Callithrix jacchus: one gene and its partners. The protein of the gene in region 1 interacts with the protein of each later gene in a pairwise test. Links are inferred from orthologs where the notes say so. Each region holds a gene or a part of one and is shown on either strand. Other genes may lie near its edges. The genes, in order: DNAJB11, PTN and UBR1.

Evidence for each region.
Region 2: the proteins of DNAJB11 (region 1) and PTN interact in a two-hybrid assay, tested with the Homo sapiens proteins (2 studies listed by BioGRID and IntAct). The link is inferred for Callithrix jacchus from reciprocal best matches to the Homo sapiens genes DNAJB11 and PTN.
Region 3: the proteins of DNAJB11 (region 1) and UBR1 interact in a two-hybrid assay, tested with the Homo sapiens proteins (2 studies listed by BioGRID and IntAct). The link is inferred for Callithrix jacchus from reciprocal best matches to the Homo sapiens genes DNAJB11 and UBR1.

Annotation. Positions count from the first base shown.
Region 1 is NC_133516.1:15,553,012-15,559,261, reverse strand, and holds the start of DNAJB11 (dnaJ homolog subfamily B member 11), read right to left. Parts: upstream 4,056-6,250; 5' UTR 3,832-4,055; coding exon 3,764-3,831; intron 2,639-3,763; coding exon 2,482-2,638; intron 1-2,481. UniProt on the Homo sapiens protein: As a co-chaperone for HSPA5 it is required for proper folding, trafficking or degradation of proteins.
Region 2 is NC_133512.1:109,977,428-109,983,406, reverse strand, and holds the start of PTN (pleiotrophin), read right to left. Parts: upstream 3,472-5,979; 5' UTR 3,284-3,471; intron 1-3,283.
Region 3 is NC_133509.1:30,852,541-30,858,665, forward strand, and holds the start of UBR1 (E3 ubiquitin-protein ligase UBR1), read right to left. Parts: upstream 3,965-6,125; 5' UTR 3,952-3,964; coding exon 3,871-3,951; exon of another isoform or gene 3,857-3,870; intron 1-3,856. UniProt on the Homo sapiens protein: E3 ubiquitin-protein ligase which is a component of the N-end rule pathway. Recognizes and binds proteins bearing specific N-terminal residues that are destabilizing according to the N-end rule, leading to their ubiquitination and subsequent degradation.

The DNA of each region.
Region 1 (6,250 bases):
AAGGAGAAAGTTATTTCAAAACCATATTCATGGTGGCCCAGAAAAAGAGAGGTTCAAAGTAGATGGGGCTTGTTGACTTAAAAGAAAGACATATTCAAACAGGACACACTCTTGGCTTAGGGCCCAAATGAGGTGTAAGGAGTCATGGCAAAAATGTATGAACATTTAAGACATCCTTGAAAGGATAAACAAAAATTGAGAATACAAGAGAGTGAAGAGTCGTCAAAGCAAAGGCAACTGGGTCATTCCAGAAGCGAGCACGGTACTTGATTAAAGCCATGTAAGAGGAAAAGGGAGAGAAAAGAATGTAATTAGAAAACAGGTACTTGGGGGAAGCAAACATGGGCATAGTTAACTTAAAAAAAAGATTAAGAAACCCTCTTATTATTATCTGGATCTCCAGAGTTTTCACTTTTCGTCTACTTCCCTGATCTTATCTTGCAAAGAAATGAACCCTGCATATGAGACTACAAAAAACACCATTTAAAACCCCCAAAGACTCAGTTTCTTTTTAGACATCAGAGGCTTCTGTAATAATCTCCTAAAAACTACTCTGGAAGTCATTTATTATCATTCACTTCCTCCTCACTTTTCTTCCATCAAGGAATGTAATTTTACTCCATGGTCTTGGAAACTATTTTAAAAGAAAAAAGGGTTTTAGTTGATTGGCAACCAATACACAGATTCCTAAGTACTTAAAATGCCAGCAGTAATCCTAGCTCTGTAGAGAAAACAAATTTGTATTCATAAAAGAATCTTCATAACTGTACTCGGATTCTAATTCGTGAACACTAATTTACCTAAGACTAAAGGCAATCAAGCTTGAATGATAAAAAGAAAAAAGAAATTTCAAGGGTTAATAGTTAAATAAATTGTAATTTCATGACTGACCTTTGTATAGCTTGCCTACGTCATAAAGAACATGTAGATTTTTTAGACAGCATGGTAAATTCAGCTTCCTTAGAAAATGTTTTTGAGTATTGGGTCCCTGGCAAACAAGGGACTATTCATGGAACATTCAGTGCAAAATATGGAATCCATATTATAAACAAGAAACAAAATGTTACATATAATTTAGGATGGGCCATCAACCTTTTCAAGTTTATTCACGTGCCTCAGGTTAAGAATTTCTGTCCCATAGGATCCCTGCAGGTGTTGAAAGAAGAAGGACCCCAAGAGCTCTTGGATTCACCTGGGTATAAGTCACTGTTTCATTTCCATTGCTTCTTTAATCTAAGAGGTCTTGGGATTCCTTTCTTTTGAGATTTGTGTCTTCCTAAAATATTTTTCAATTTGTTTCTAGCCTTCTCAATATACAAGAATTTTAACTTAAATTTGGGAGTTTTAGCTCTGTGACTTTTAGTTCAATTAATTTTCTTCTGTGTCCATTTAAAAAATAAGAAAATATGCCTAGCTCTACTATATTTCCTGGTGTCCTAGTAAAGATTAAATGAGATGATACACATGAAAGTGTTTTGACCCCCAGATTAGAGGTTGCAAAATCAAATTAAAACTGTGCTTTGTTGATCTATGTAAAAAAGAAATTTAACTGAATTAGTTTTCACAAGCAGAATTTATATAAAAATCTAGATTTTCAACTTTTCTTGAAAAATTAAATCATCTAGGAAAATACTATTTGCATTTATATGACAAAAATTGTTTGGGGTTGAGTAACAACTGTCCCCTTGAAATAGGGCAAGGAGCCTTCAGTTTGTCAAAGTCCTCAGCAATCCTTATTGCTTCCCAATACAGAGGCAGAATATCTGCTGCCATGTTTTAATTTATATCTGCCTTGCATGTCATTTGTCTAGTTCATATGGTCATTTAAGGCTTGCAACTCTCATGAAGGTTTTCTTTTTATTCTTGGCTCTAGCTCCCAAACTGACTGATAGACCAGTTGATCTACTTATTAATCTATCATCTGTCATTTATTCTTTTTCAACATTATTCTGGAATATTAATATAAAAAGGAAGAAAATGGCATCTACTAATGTGAATTTAATATCTAATACAATACAGCATCAAGTACTACTTTTACTTTTATCTACTGTTTAGTTTTTAAATAAAAGTGACCTTGGCTGGGTGCAGTGGCTCATGCCTGTAATCTTAGCACTTTGGGAGGCTAAGAAGGTGGGCAGATCACTTGAGGTCAGAAGTTTGAGACCAGCCTGGCCAACATGGTGAAACCCTGTCTCTACTAAAAATAGAAAAATTAGCTGGGTGTGGTGCGTGCGCCTGTAATCCCAGCTACTCGGGAGGCTGGGCAGGAGAATTGCTTGAACCCAGGAGGCGGGGGTTTCAGCGAGTGGAGATGTGCCACTGCACTCCAGCCTGGGCAATAGAGCAAGACTTAGTCCCCCCCCAAAATAATAACAACAATAATAATAAATAAAAGTGAACTGAAAGGAGTGTTTCTCTGTAGTAAATGCTTTTTCTACACCTACAGATTTTATTCATACTTTATCATTTTTTAGGACTCACCTCATAAGCAGCACCCAGATCCTGGAATTTCTCCTGGGCTTGTGGATCATCAGGGTTCCGGTCAGGATGAAGCTGCAGGGCCAGTTTCCTATAGGCTTTTTTAATGTCCTTTATAGAGGCACTTCGAGGCACCCCCAAGATCTTATAGAAATCTCGCCTGGGAAGTAGAGGGAGAGAATACTTCATTAAAGAGTTATCTGTTAGATTTTTAAAAGCAAAAAAAATTTTTCCCCTACATTTGGGTTTGTATCCGAGCAAAGAAATACAAAAATGGGTTATGCGACACATACACACACAAAGTATGACTAAAAAGACAACACCAGAATTTGTAATGAATATTATATATTGATGTAATCACAGTAAGAGGCTACATACTTCTTTTTAGATTATTCAAAACATCTGTGGAACTCTTCTTTTAGAGCCACCTTCAATCAAGAAAACCGCTTCCTTATTTTACGGTCTCATGTTATTTTTAGGCAATAATCATATAGTCAAATGAACTCTTCCTCCCTTTCCCTATACTGGCTCCAAATGACTTTTGACTTTTCTAAAAGTCAAATAACATTCTCAAAGGATGACTTTCCTTATTTAAAAAGATTATGCCACTTAAATGTTCTAACAGTAGCACTGCCAGAACTTTAAAGATGAAGCAACCGAAGATAATACATAGCTCAAGAAGCTGGGAAGTACAAGGGCTCTCCAAGGGTCTTCTTGCTCCCCTCCCCCATCCGATTTTGTTCAGTTCCAACTCGATCTGGCATTATCCACCCACTTTAATGTCGGCCCCCCAGTGACTCGTTGCAGGCTTGGCATAGAGTATCATCCGCTTCTCCAGCTCAGCGGGGCACAGCAACCCACCTCTTCGATCAAACAAAACGTCCATCCCCCCAACCTCAGCCTGACACTGTCATTACCTTGCCATACAGTCAGTCACCCCTCTTTCTTCCCCAGCTCTACGTGACACTGCTTCAGCTCACAACCACCTTCTTGCCCTCAAACTCTCCTCATCCCCCAAATGCCATTTGGCAATTCATCCAACTCCCACTCCTCTGGGCAAATCTAGCTCTACCTAAGGCCCTCTCTAGACGTAAAGCCCTCTCACTGGTGTCACCCACGGTTCTCCTCTCACCCCACTAGCCAGGCCCATACTACCCCTTCCTCAGTCATCCCGTCACCCCACAGCGATGCCCCTCTCCACTCCCTCAGTCTGGCAATGCCACATCCCCCACTCCCTCCCACCCCCAGCAAAGGCTGACCCACCGGCCCCGTGTCTACTCCTCACCCGGCAATCACGGCCCCGATGAGGTACAGCAGCAACAGGCAAAAGGTGCTCAGGTTCTGCGGAGCCATGGTTCCTCTGTCCCGGGTCGTGTACCACACACTCCTCACAGCCTCCTCCTCCGCCGCCGCAGCCGCGTCGGCTCGCCAGCCCACCCGGCCCTGGGAGGCCGCCTCACACCGGAGGGCGCGGGGGGGTGGGTCTCCTCCTTGGTCCGAAGAGACAGCTAGCTAGCCCCGTCCTCTACCAGTCCACTTCCCGGGAGTCCCGAGTCCCAGTGAGAGAAGTCCCCAGCAGGCGAGAGCCAATCGTTGCCCCGGACATCACACGCGGCCGGCGCCTGGAAGCCAATCAGCGCAGTACACTTCACCTCCGAGGCGGCAAGGGCAGCCAGTTAGGCTTCAGAATTGCAGTCGCAGCTCCCGACCAATTAGAAGAAGAGATGTCAGAGGATTGCGCCGCTGCAGGAACCGGCTCTGCCCGAGCTACCCCGAGTCGTAGAAAATTACGTAAGTAGGGGGCGGGGTCGACCGAGGGGGCCCCCTGAGGTACAAGAAATCCCCTCCGGCTCGCCTACTTCCTCGGGCTTCTCACCAATCAGGAGGCTCCTCCCCAGCACTGACCAATTGCGGGAGAAAAGTTTTCTCTCTGTTACAAGTATGGAATTTCATTCATATCCAGCTTCGCGCCGAAAGCGGGAGCAGAGGTATAGCGGCAGAATGGGCCGGTACAGTTATTCCACGACTGCTGTACATCGGACGCATTGCTTCGGACTCTTATTTTACGTTCTCCAAGCAACTCCTTAAGGCAACCGTCTCGGAAAGCCGACCGTGACGATAGGATTAAGCTTCCACCACTTAGAGGTGAGACTCCCCTATCCCTCTTCTCCTCCCGAGTCTGAGCCTAAGTTTTTTTTATCAGCAAAACTAAGGCAAAGTACTTATTGGCAGTGCTGTTTTTTACAGGGAATTTTTACAGGGAAAAAATATCTGTAAATCGTTGGGCACATGGTAAGCAGGCAATGAATAAAAACCATTATTACAGTTCAAGCAGTTGATTCCCCCTCTTCCCCGAATTTTACTCATCACAGTTACACAACACCTAGTTGATCAGGACAAAACTCTCGGTGTTTTTATTCCTTTCATGTATAAGCTATCCAAATCTTTACCCCTGAACTATACTTGAATCTGTCCACTATATCTCCATTACGGGGTCTCTGGATCACAGAGTATCTCTCACCTGGCCAGGGTCTCCTAACTGTTCTGTCTGCCCCTACTCTTAATATCTTCCTTAATACCTTAATAGATGTTGCTCATCCTGTCCCCCACTCCATAATTAAAAAAAAAAAAAGACCGGTAATCTCAGCACACTGGGAGACCGAGGCAGGCGGATCACCTGAGGTCAGGAGCTCAAGACCAGCCTGACCAAAATGATGAAGCCCTGTCTCACTAAAAATACAAAAATTAGCTGAGTGTGGTGGCGGGCGCCTGTAATCCCAGCTACTCGGGAGACTGAGGCAGGAGAATCCCTTGAATTTGGGAGGTGGAGGTTGCAGTGAGTGGAGATCGCACCACTGCACTCCAGTCTGGGCAACAGTTAGACTCCATTTCAAAATAAAATAAATAAAAATAAAAGTCAAATCATGTCACTCCCCTGCTTAAAATCCTGGAATGACTCTTCCTTTGCATTTAGAATAAAATCCCAACTTAATGCTAGTTTACAAAGCTGTTTATGCTTTGTACTCCCTCTCACCTATTATACTCCTGACCATGGTCCAGCAAAACTTGCTTCCTTTCTTTTTTGCATACACCTGCTGAGGGCCTCTGTGCTAGCTATGCCCTTTACCTGAAACACTGTACTCTCCCTCATGTCCTGACACAGGTGATTCCTTCTTCAACTCATAAATCAGCTTAAATGCCACCACCTCAGGGAAGACTTCCCTGACCAATCATTCAAAATTAGCCCCTACTGAGTTTCTTACTCTTACACCATCCTGTTTTCTTTTTTTTCCTGAGACAGAGTCTCACTCTGTTGCCCAGGCTGGGGTGCAGTGTCACAATCTCGGTTCACTGCAACCTCTACCTCCCAGGTTCAAGTGATTCCCCTGCCTCAGCCTCCCAAGTAGCAGGGCCTACAGGCACGTGCTACTATACATGTCTAATTTTGTATTTTTAGTAGAGACAGGGTTTCACCATGTTGACCAGGTTGGTCTCGATCTCCTGACCTTAAGTGATCCACCTGCCTTGCTTCCCAAATTGCTGGGATTACAGGCATAAGTCACTATGCCCGGCCTCCAATTTTATTTTATTTTTTTAATCCCTGGACCCTAGACTTACATACTGAAATGCCAGTTTCATGAGAGCATGAATCTATATTGTTCTGTTCACAGCTGTATGAAACAGTAACTTAGAACACTGCCTGGCATGGAGTAGGTGTGGAAGTATTTTTGTGTGGAGATTCACTTGGGGTGGCTGGCAAAATAATTAGGGA
Region 2 (5,979 bases), on another chromosome or scaffold:
TCACTGTATTCCCTGCCCACCCTGAAGAAATAGGGATTTGTGCTGAATGTGATCTACATAATTAAATCCAAAATATTACCATATTTATAATACCCTCTGATAATGTTTCATCATAGTTACCCTTCTAAACTTCTGTTTTAATTTCTTATTTACTAAATGCCAAAATAGAAAGAAAAGGAGGCTTGTTATATTTTACAGTCTAGAAATATTGTAATGACACCATGATAACTATGCCAAATACTAGGCTGGCTTAAAGTGGATGGAAAAATAGCCCAGCGAGTGGAAACTTCAATTGTCCATAAACACCAGAGCGAAAGACAACTTTCCTTGAGGCCATACTCCAAATTCCACTTAAGCCAATTGACTCTGGATGGAAAAAAGCAAGCCCAGCTCATAAAAAGAAGGTTCATACCTGAGTATTATTTTACCTCCCCTCCAACAGCAACGACATGACCTTGTGTAAGAAGGAGACAAATCTCTTCGATTACTCATTTAGAACAGAAGCCAGAGGAGAAAACATTCCTCACCCTTCTGGAGAAGCCCAACTCAACATCACTAGCAAAGCCACGGAACAAAGACCATTGGAGAGTTCCCACATAGCCTCATGCTCCTGAGAAAAGTTGACCTCAAACTGGGCTGAGATGCACTCAGGTGTGGAGCACATCTGAACTCTCATCACATTGGGTGGTCCAGTTTGGACACCTCCTTCAGGAGAGAAGTCAAGAACAACTCCCCTTATCATTATACCGCCATATTAAAAAACATAATTGTTTAGAGAAAGGGAATTCGTATCTGAATTCTGACTTCTGGCCCTCAATCTATTGTTAAATTTATCACATCATTATGAACAAGCCAACTAAACTCAGTTTCCTAGGATATTTTTGAATAGTAATTGAAAACACAATGTCACAAATAGGAATACGATTAGAATTCATGTGAGGATGTCATGTAGGTGAGAAAGCAAGGGTATTGTCAAAGAAAAAATAAAAGATTTAAAGTTAAAATATTTGACATCAAAGATTAATTTTATTGAATAAAAATGATTCAACTATCTGGAAATCTTATTTCTCTCTGTTGTTTTCCGTTGTTTCAGGTTTAAAATTTATAAAATTTTATAATTTTATATTTATAAAAGGGCCATTAGCTTTACTGAAATCTTTCAAAAAATGAAAATGCTCATTAAAAAGAAATGTAGGTCTTGCTACACATTGCTATATGTGAAGCCCAAATAAGGCACATGGAAAATGTCAATAAATTAGGAAGTTCATGATTCCAAATCTCATGATCTCATGAAAAGAAGTCTAAAAAAAACAGAGAATTATATATAATACATACAATACATTAGACTATAAATATAGTTAGGTATACTTTATTACTCTAATTCTCTGTAATATCTCATTTAAAGTCAGATAATTTAAAAGTCATGTATTAAATAGTACTTGTGTATATCTCAAGCTCTACCTTTGAGAACATAATGCATTTGCATCCAGAAGCAAACAGCTGGAACACAGCAACTAATAATGCTGTTACATGTGGCTTCAGATGGGAGTTCCTTATAGTGGCTTTTCACTAAATGAAGAAAAAGATGTCCCAAAGGGAATCAGTGAGCAGTGGCAGGAAAAAAGATCATCTTCTATGTATTTAGAGCACAATTAGAGAATTTAAGGCCCAAGTTTCTTAAAGCACAAAAGAATGGCATTAGAGTATTTTTGAAAAAATATATAATTTTTAAAAATCTCATCTAATTTAAATGAAAACGTATAAATATTGCCAGTCTGAAATAACTCATGTCCCAAAGGGAGAAAAAAAAAAGATAATATTCATTCTAATTTCCTCTGAATTTAACTGGACTACATATTCCTTAATGATTTGGCCTTTAAAATGCATAATTTACTTAAAAAGAAACATAATGAAGATGGAAAATACAAGCTTTATTTTCTGCGTTGGGAGACTTCTCTTTTGTTTCATTCTCATTACCTGTTAATATTTCTACATATCAATGCATTCCTAGATAATTAAGGGGCTAAAATGGGCTCTGCTGTTTCATCAATTCCATGTTTGCCTTGGATCATAAAATTGCTTCATTATGTTATTAGTTCAAAAGCTCTTTTTGGTAATTTACCAAGTCTTCTCCCAGATCCCTTACTCCAGTGCGCGCACGCGCACACACACACATACAGACACGCACGCACACACATACACCCCACCCCTTTCTCAAGCTGCTAAAGCAAAATGCTTGATAACTCTTAAAATGCTCAAGGATGGGAACTTTACTATTCTCTCCTCTTAGGACCCCCACCCCTCCTATTTTCTGAATGTATTCCCAAACTTACAAAGCAGCTCTTAATAGACACAAGGGTGAGTTAACAATAAAGCGGATCTATACGGCATGTATGTGTTCTTGTATGAGCGCGTGTGTGTTGTGTCGTGTTATGTCATGGAAAAAGGGGTGTGTGTGTGTATGGAGAAGAGAGAGAAGGCTTCACGTTCAGTCTATTAAGTAAGAAAGGAGTTGAATATATTCCTCTCAAAAAAATTTCATAACTTATTAGAAACATCAACTTAGAAACTCTCAATATCTAGTCGATTAGTAACAAATACACCCTAGGTTCATATGGGTCAAATTAAAAGTTTAAGGGTCTATGTACAGGGCAGTTCTTTATATGGGACTCAGGGGGCATCTTCTAAGCTTTGGGTCTAACCATTTCTGGAACCATTCCTGGGCTGTCAGGTGGGAATAAGGGTGCCAGTGGTTCTGTGAGAGACGTTCCATGTCAGCTAGCATTGGGAGGAACAAGCCCCCACAGTTTACCTAGAAATGCCAGCTAAGAGTCATGGGCTGGCCGGCCCTGGGGCAATCAGAGAATCAGAGAGAGGATTGGAAAATGAGAGCTGCTTGTTCAGGCTGCCTTACTTTCTCTTCAACTACCCAGCCACAGACACACCTACTAAAGCTCCCGGTTTTACAAAAAGCAAAGATGCACTCTCCCGCCCTGGCCTGCTCTCCAGCTGGCAGCTGGAACAGGGTCCAAATGCACGCTTAACATCACAAAAACTTCTCACACTTACCTAAGCACTCCCTGACGAACCTAACCTCACTCCCCCAAAATATGCCTCCCTTCGTCCCTGAAGCAAGTCAGTTTTGAAAGCGGTCCTATCAGCAACGACACCAGGCAGCCTCTCTCACTCCTACCACCATCATCGGCTGGCACCCAGAAAAGTGGCACAGGGTGAAGGCAAACTCGAAGAGCCCTCCGAGAAATCGTGCGTTCTTCTCACTTACTTTGAGTTGCAAATGTCCGCTCTGGCGCTCAGGCTGCCTTTGTTGCGAGGGGCGAGGTTGCTACTGCCGAGTCCAGGTATGGGCGGCTCGCTGCAGCTCTGGGTGGCTGCGGCTCTCCACGCCTTCTGGACGGATGAGTCACTGGTCTCTTTCTTCCCCTCTCCCCACTTTGGATTTTCCTCTGCTCTGGGGCTCTCTTGGCGGGATTTTTGGACTGGAAGGCGGGGAACCTGATCCTGCCTTTGACTCAATTACGCCCCAACAGGGAGGGAACGGAAGGGAAATGGAGAATGGGAGTGATGAGAGGAGCGGGCCAGGAGGACGCAGGCTGGGCGAGGGAGGGAGAGCGCTTTGCGCTCCAGAGCTGATTGGGAAGCTTATTAAAAGCAGAATACTCCAGGGGCAGTCTCTCCCCATGGAGCAAGAAAAGGGATTTGAACTAAGAGGCCAGGAGATGGCATTTTGTTTTGTTTTTAGCAGAGACCAAACACAGTATTTCTCTTCCAAACTCCATGCATTATCAAGTCTTCAGATGGTGCAAAGCCACTTTGCCAACTGGGATATTTTAAATGAACAATTGACTGCATTTTAGGTTACAGTTTTGGCCCCACACAATTCTTTAATGATATTCAGGATGAAAAAGCACTCTCGCTGGGCGCGGTGGCTCAAGCCTGTAATCCCAGCACTTTGGGAGGCTGAGGCGGGTGGATCACAAGGTCAAGAAATCGAGACCATCCTGGTCAACATGGTGAAACCCCGTCTCTACTAAAAATACAACAAATTAGCTGGGCATGGTGGCACGTGCCTGTAATCCCAGCTACTCAGGAGGCTGAGGCAGGAGAATTGACTGAACCCAGGAGGTGGAGGTTGCAGTGAGCCGAGATCGCGCCATTGCACTCCAGCCTGGGTAACAAGAGGGAAAGTCTGTCTAAAAAAAAAAAAAAAAAAAAAAAATAGAAAAAGCATTCTCTTCAAACCAGCCTCTTCTTTCCCACCCGCCAAAGCCCTCCCTATACACAGAGGCAGTTACCCAGCTGTGAGTCACATCTCATCTGCAAAGCACAAAATGTACAAAGTACTTTTTCTCGATTGTCACAAAGAGTGACAGACGTCTGAAAACTCCCAATTAAGTACTACTTACCTTTAGGGAGAGCTCTCTCCTTTTTTGGTTTCCTTGGTGCCTTTAGTGACCTATTTAGTAACATGCCTTTGACACCCAAGAATTTAGAGGATGTGTCAATGTAGCTCAAATGCTGAGGTTTGTAAAAGTTGGAGGCTGGGCTTTGTGTCTCTCTGAAATTTTCATTTCATTCAGTTGAGGAAAGATGCTAAGTCAATGCAGAGGTAAGTATTCATGATACAGATGAGATACAAGTATTGTATTAAGATTAAGATGCATTACACAAATTTACCCAAACATTTTCAAAATGTAAATCTCGAGATTTTCTGCTACTTACCAGCTTTTCCTGCTCCTTGGCTAGTTCCTTTCACTTACTTTTACCGCTCAGCTTATCATTTGATGGTGTCCTCCCAAATTGATAGTAAAATAGACTTGCATTTTTCATAGTTCTGAGGTTACATCCCTTCGTTTCAATTTGACAAATATTTATTAAGCAACTTATTTACTTAGAGCTATCCCCAAACCCCTAAATTAGAAGCATTGTGGTGGCAAGTAGTTTTTAGGGATTTGGGGATCTTATATTGACTGCTACCTGGAGAAATATCCCATGGAGGAGTCAGCTGGAACCAAAGAGGTAGCTCTATAAATTTAATCAAGTAGTCAAACTATTCAAAAGAAATGGCATCAGACATGCACTTACACACTTACAGCTTATCCCCCTTCCCAAACTCTTCATACACATACCATAAACAATTCTCAAATGAAATAACTAAATAAGGAAGCTGTGTTCCTTTCTCCTACACACAGGCCTCAAGTTACCTATTTTCCTTTTGTAATTCCACTTCCCCATGAAGCAAGCAGTGTTTGTTTTAATCAGATTTCATTTGTATAAAGTGTGGAGGAATGCACATTATCATTTTTATTAGCGTTTTCCCCGGTCCCTTTACTGAAAAAGATGTCTCAGCATTTTGTTAACAGGAGCAAAATTTCCAAGCCATTGAACAAAGAGTTATCCATTTTCTTTCTGTTCTTCAGCTTTATCTTAACATATACAAATGTAACATACTGCTGCTACCAGTTAGGTGAACAATGCTGACTTGATTGAGGTGCTCTCTATAGGGTTGACAAAGTAAGCATGAGATTCCCATGATTTCTACTCAATTACATATGTTATATCAGAAATATCACCCTTTATTCAGATAGGGATATACTAAAATTGCATACATCAGTGGTTATCCATTGGGAGCAATTTTGCCCTCCAGGAAAAGTGAATAATGTCTGGAGGTAGTTTTAGTTGTCACAGCTTGGGGGAAGGGGTTGCTCTGGCATCTAGTACATAGAGGCCAGGGATGCTGTTTAACATCTTACAATGAATAGGACAGCCTTTGTTACCAGAAAGGGGTCCTGGTCCAGAACCAAAGAGAGAGTTCTTGGATCTCAGTTGCAAGAAAGAATTCAGGGAAAGTCTATAGAGCAAAGTGAAAGCAAGTTTGTTCAAGAAGTAAAGGGATAACAGTTACTCCATAAGTAAAGCAACCCCAATGGCTGCTGGCTGTCCACTTTTCTGGTCATTTTC
Region 3 (6,125 bases), on another chromosome or scaffold:
GTCCTTTCCTCTCCTAAAATCTGCTCTTTCCTCTCAGTATATGACATAACTAAGACCAGGCACAGTGGCTGACACCTGTAATCCCAGCACTTGGGGAGGCCAAGGTGGGTGGATCACCTGAGGTCAGGAGTTTGAGATAAGTCTGGTCAGTATGGTGAAACCTTGCCTCTACTAAAAACAGAAAAAAATGGCTGAATGCGGTGGCTCATGCCCATAATCCCAGCATTTTGGGAGGCAGCGGTGGGTAGATAGCCTGAGGTCGGGAGTTTGAGACCAGCCTGGCCAACATGGTAAAACCCCTGTCTTTATTTAAAATATAAAAATTAGTGGGGTGTGGTGGTAGGCACCTGTAATCCCAGCTACTTGGAAGGCTGACGCAGGAGAATCACCTGAATCTGGGAGGTGGAGGTTGCAGTAAGCCAAGATCACGCCACTGCATTCCAGCCTGCACGACAGAGACAGACCTTGTCTTCAAAAAAAAAAAAAAACTGGGCATAGTTGGTGTATGCCTGTTGTAAATGGGCAATAGATAAGAGCTGAGTGTCATGCCAAGAGGTATCTTCTGAAATTGACTTAAGAAAATCTAGTTAAGGAAGACAGAAGGCAGAAAGAAGTTCTGGCAAACTACCCACCAACACTCTTGATTCGCAATTTTTCTCAGTCCTCAACATCATGGACACAATAAACCACCACCCTCTCCTCAAAACATTACCCCTGCCATTGCACTACTCTCACCTCTTACCAGCTTGCCTGTTCTGTTTCCACGTTCCAGTTCTTCCATTTTCTACCCATTTCAATCATTCCTGTTCTCTCATCGTCTCTCTCACACACTCTATTTTCCTCTGTATGTGTGTGTCTACATATGCACACATTTTCCTCCTGAAAGATTTTATCCAGGCTGGGTATAGTGGCTCACACTTGTAATCCCACCACTTTGGGAGGCCAAGGCAGATGGATCACTTGAGATCGGGGCTTGAAACCAGTCTGGCCACATGGCAAAATCCTGTCTCTACTAAAAATACAAAAATTAGCTAGGCATGGTGGCGCACACCTGTAACTCCAGCTACCTGGGAAGCTGAGGCATGAGAATTGCTTGAACCCAGGAGGTGGAGGTTGCAGTGAGCTAAGATAGTGCCACTGTACTCCAGCCTGGGTGGTAGAGTGAGACTCTGTCTTAAAATAAATAAATAAAACAAAACCCTGTCTCTATAAAAAATGCAAAAAATTAGCAGGGCATGGTGGCCCGTACCTATATTCTCAGCCACTTAGGAGGCTGAGGTGGGAGGATCACCTGAGCCCAAGAGGCTGAGGCTACAGAGAGTTACATTTGTGCCACTGCACTCTAGCCTGGGTGATAAAGTGAGACCCTGTCTCAAAAAAAATATGTTACCCATTCCCACAACTCAACTGTCAATAATTTACTGATAACTTCCAAATACCTAGCTAAGTGTTACTGAAAGTGTGGCCCTGGACCACTATTTCAGAATCAGCAGGGCATGCTTGTGAAAATGCAGATTCTCAGACCTATGGTATCAGTTCCTCTGGTGATTCTTAAGCAATGGCTTTTATAAATATCTGCAAATTCATACCTATTATTTTACGTGAATTGCATGTGAGATAATGTTAGGAATATTACAGCCTTCATGCTTACCAATAGCAATATGAATGAAAAAGGACCTGCAGACTAAGAAGGAAGTTTAAAGGAAATCAAAAACTATAACCAGGAATTAGACTCTAATAGAAACTGTTCAATTGCTTAAACCTCTATAAATGTCCCATACCATTTACCTTTGTCTAAAGATAAGCAATAAGGAGTAGGGGGGACAACTGAGCTCATGTTGCTTAACACCAAAGTAGTAAACTGGGAAGCCAGTGTCACGCCATGGCTGAAATAAAATTAAAGTCAGTAGTAGCTTGAGAAACAGAGAGAGAAAGGTATAATGAGCTGTAGGATCTTCAGTAGGTAGAGAGAGCCAAGCCAAAAAAGTGGTTATGAAGCGTAACAGTTAAAGGTCTTGTCTACTGACAGTACTTTACCTTGAATTAAAATTCTTTGGGCACTTATATTAGCTGTGTCACCAGACTGTGAGTTCCTTGGGGCTGAGTTCCTTGGGGCTATATTACACAATCTACCTACTACTTTGCAAAACCTAAAGCCTTGCCCAACAAAATCTAATAATATTTCCTGAGGTGAAGTTTGCCAAATAAATTCTATCTCAATTCCTGTATCATTGTCTCAATTCCAAATGAGTGGTGTCCAGAATGATAGAGTTTTACTGTACTACCTGGAAAAAATTAATGTATCAAAGCTTTAAATAAATATTAATCTTCGGATACAAAACTAATAATTTTTCTGACCACAGCAGAGTTTCCCCACTCCTTCTAACCCACAAATTACCATTAAGATGTTTCAGCTGCTTCTGAACTTGTCCCACCTCCTCATTCCTTATCATCTCAAATAGACGCTTCCTCCTTTACTGCCAGTAGTGAAGTGAATTTGAACCGCTATTTGGGGTGGAGGAAAACTACAAGCACTAACACAGTCAGTGACCAAATCCTTTTTCCAACTCCCTTCCTACTTGATTCCTACCACCTAGCCAGTCTCATCAGTCCCTGGAGTTGACTCATTCTGTAGTTCCCTCTGTCCTTAATAAAACAATGCTCAATTGTCTGCAAGATTAAAACAAATGCTTTTATTAGGCCAGCTGCGGTGGCTTACACTGTAATCCCAATATTTTGGGTCGCCAAGGCAGGTGGATCACCTGAGGTCAGGAGTTAGAGATCAGCCTGGCCAACATGGTGACACCACGTCTCTACTAAAAATACAAAAAAATTTAACTGGGTGTGGGGGTAGGCGCCTGTAATCCCAGCTACTCTGGAAGCTGAGGCAGGAGAATCGCCTGAATTGAAGTGAGCTGAGATTGCGCCACTGTCCTCGAGCCTGGGCAACAAGAGTGAAACTCCTTCTCAAAAAAAAAAAGTTTCCATTACACTGCAAACCCAAGAAACTTCAGAAAAAAAAGTGTATATCCCAATTTTCTAACTGCTGCTACTTAGAAAAACAAACTAATAAAACATTATGCAGTGATAGATATTTGAATATTTTCTAAATATCTCCCCACTAGATGCCCTAGGCATCCAGAACATTCCCTAACATTGCCCTCTACCTCTTATCTTCCTCTGTCAGCTTTCTCCCTGTAGCTACTCACTCAAATTTGTTCACTATCTCTGCCTTCCCATTCTTTCAAACTGCTGGAGCAAAGTATAGATTCCGATATTAATTAATGGTATTGCTCTGGCTTGAAATGTTTGGGCGTCCCTTCTTCACTTTTAAAAAGCAGCGACAGATGATGGGTTTCTCCACAGAAGGTTAGGCCTGGGGTTCTCAAGATGCTATATAGAAGGACAATTCCTGCACATAACATCTTGACATGACTTGACAGTGGCAGCACTCACTACCATTATCACGTCCCGGTCAGCCGGCTGTGCAATACAATACCAGATGCTGCGTTCCCATCATCAAGAGGGGTTAGCACTGCTTCTATACGAAAATGGCTCTTGCTCCAACTCCACCACCTCAGCCCCCATATCAAACCGTCTAATAACATCACCGGTTCTTTCTACTTCAAAATAGAGACGTGCATGCTTGAGAACAACAAGAATAATACATAACAAAGTCATAATATTCCGTAGACTTGGCTGGCAGAAACGTGGGTTGCGACTAACTTTTTATTCGGTGGCTTCCTTCCAGATCAATCCATATAACTTCCCCTCCCCAGAGCCGCCATAAGGGGTGAAGCTCCACATTCTCCTGAGCGCAGTAGGGAGGGATTGGGGGAGGACAAAAGAGACTTGCCTATAGGGACTTACAGCTGCCAGACGCTGAGGGGTCTGGGGTAACTCCGAGCAGATTTCCATTCTTTCCGCACCTCTAGCCTCTTCGTCCGCCATCTTGAGGGAAACTGACGCCTACAGTTGCTGACCCCCCTGGCCAGAAGCAAGCGGAAACCTGTGGCTGGTCGGAGAGACGGGAACGACACTTTTACGACGGCCCCTGAAGTCGGGTTTCACGCAGAATCGAGGACCGGCTTCCGGCCCGCTTCCCGGAAGCAAGCGTCACAACATGAAGGGACTGGAGGGTATTTTTCCCTCTAATTTATCAGGCATAGCGTTTGGTGCTGAGAACTGTTGCATCTACGAAGTAAAAAACAACAACAAATTCAGCGTCCATTATGAAAGGAAGAAAACTGTCAGGAGCTATCCTAGCTCGCCGGTTGTTAGCCTGGGCATGTTTTGTATCCCGACCTCCCTGCAGTGTTCCCCAGAACCTACGAAATACAAAAGAAAGTACTCACACATCTTCCATTTTTAGGAGTCTACCCCGTAGGCACTTGCACATGCGTACAAAAAAAGCTCAGGATCCAGCTTTATTGGGGGGCACGGAGGGGAAATAACAAAAAATTGGAAACCTAGTCATTCATCGCTAGAGGAAAGACAAGATACACTATGGTACTCCCGCATTTTGAAATACCGTGCAGCTTTGAGCAAGATAAATCTAAGTGAAAAGGTAAATTAAGTGAGAGAAAAAGGCCAAGTTGCCGAAAACTATATATTTGCACACATATGCATTTAGATGTGAAGGAATAACTCTGAAAGGGGAAAGAGCCAAGTGGTAACTGAGGGCCAGGATTCGGATTGGAGCAAGAAGGTGGTCAAGAACTACTTTAGCTTCATCTGTATTTTAAATTGTTTACCAAACAAATAATTTAAAAGTATATGTGGCCGGGCGCGGTGGCTCACGCCTGTAATCCCAGCACTTTGGGGGACTGAGGCAGACGGATCACCAGAGGTCGGGAGTTTGAGACCAGCCTTAACATGGTGAAACCCCGTCCCTACTAAAACTACAAAATTAGCTGGGCATCGTGGCGCATTCCTGAAATCCCAGCCACTCGGGAGGCTGAGGCAGGAGAATTGCTTGAACCTGGGAGGCGGTGGTTGCAGTGAGCTGAGATCGTGCCATTGCACTCCAGCCTGGGCAACAAGAGCAAAATACTCTGTCTCAAAAAAAAGTTAATGTATATTTTATATATACATATTTGTTATATAGAAATAGATATTATATACGTGTGTGTGTGTGTAAATATATATTTTTTGTTTTTTTGAGACGGAGTTTCGCTCTTGCTACCCAGGCTGGAGTGCAATGGCGCAATCTCGGCTCACCGCAACCTCCGCCTCCTGGGTTCAGGCAATTCTCCTGCCTCAGCCTCCTGAGTAGCTGGGATTACAGGCACGCCTCACCATGCCCAGCTAATTTTTGTATTTTTAGTAGACGGAGTTTCACCATGTTGACCAGGATGGTCTCGATCTCTTGACCTTGTGATCCACCCGCCTCGGCCTCCCCAAGTGCTGGGATTACAGGTTTGAGCCACCGCGTCCGGCCCTATTTTATTTTTTTATTTTTTTGATATGGAGTCTTGCTCTGTCAGCCCAGGCTGGAGTGCAGTGGCGTGATCTCGGCTCACTGCAATCCCAGTCTCCCCAGCACAAGCAATTCTGCCTCAGCCACCCGAGTAATTGGGATTACAGGCACAAGCCACCATATCCGGCTTATCTTTGTTTTTTTTTTGTTTTTTTTTTTTTGAGACGGAGTTTCTCTCTTGTTACCCAGGCTGAAGTGCAATGGCGCGATCTCGGCTCACCGCAACCTCCGCCTCCTGGGTTCAAGCAATTCTCCTGCCTCAGTCTCCCGAGTAGCTGGGATTACAGGCACACGCCACCATGCCCAGCTAATTTCTGTATTTTTAGTAGAGACAGGGTTTCACCACGTTGACCAGGATGGTCTCGATCTCTTGATCTCGTGATCCACCCTCCTCGGCCTCCCAAAGTGCTGGGATTATAGGCTTGAGCCACCACGCCCAGCCTATTTTTGTATTTTTTTAGTACAGACAGTTTCACCATGTTGGCCAGGCTGGTCTCGAACTCCTGACCTTATGATTCACCCACCCGGGCTTTCCAAAGTTCTGGGTTTAAAGTCCTGATTTTACTACTTCCTTACAAAGTCAAGTCATGATCTCTGAACCTCAATTTTCTTGCTCCTCAGAGATGCTCGTAGATGCAGTAGTATT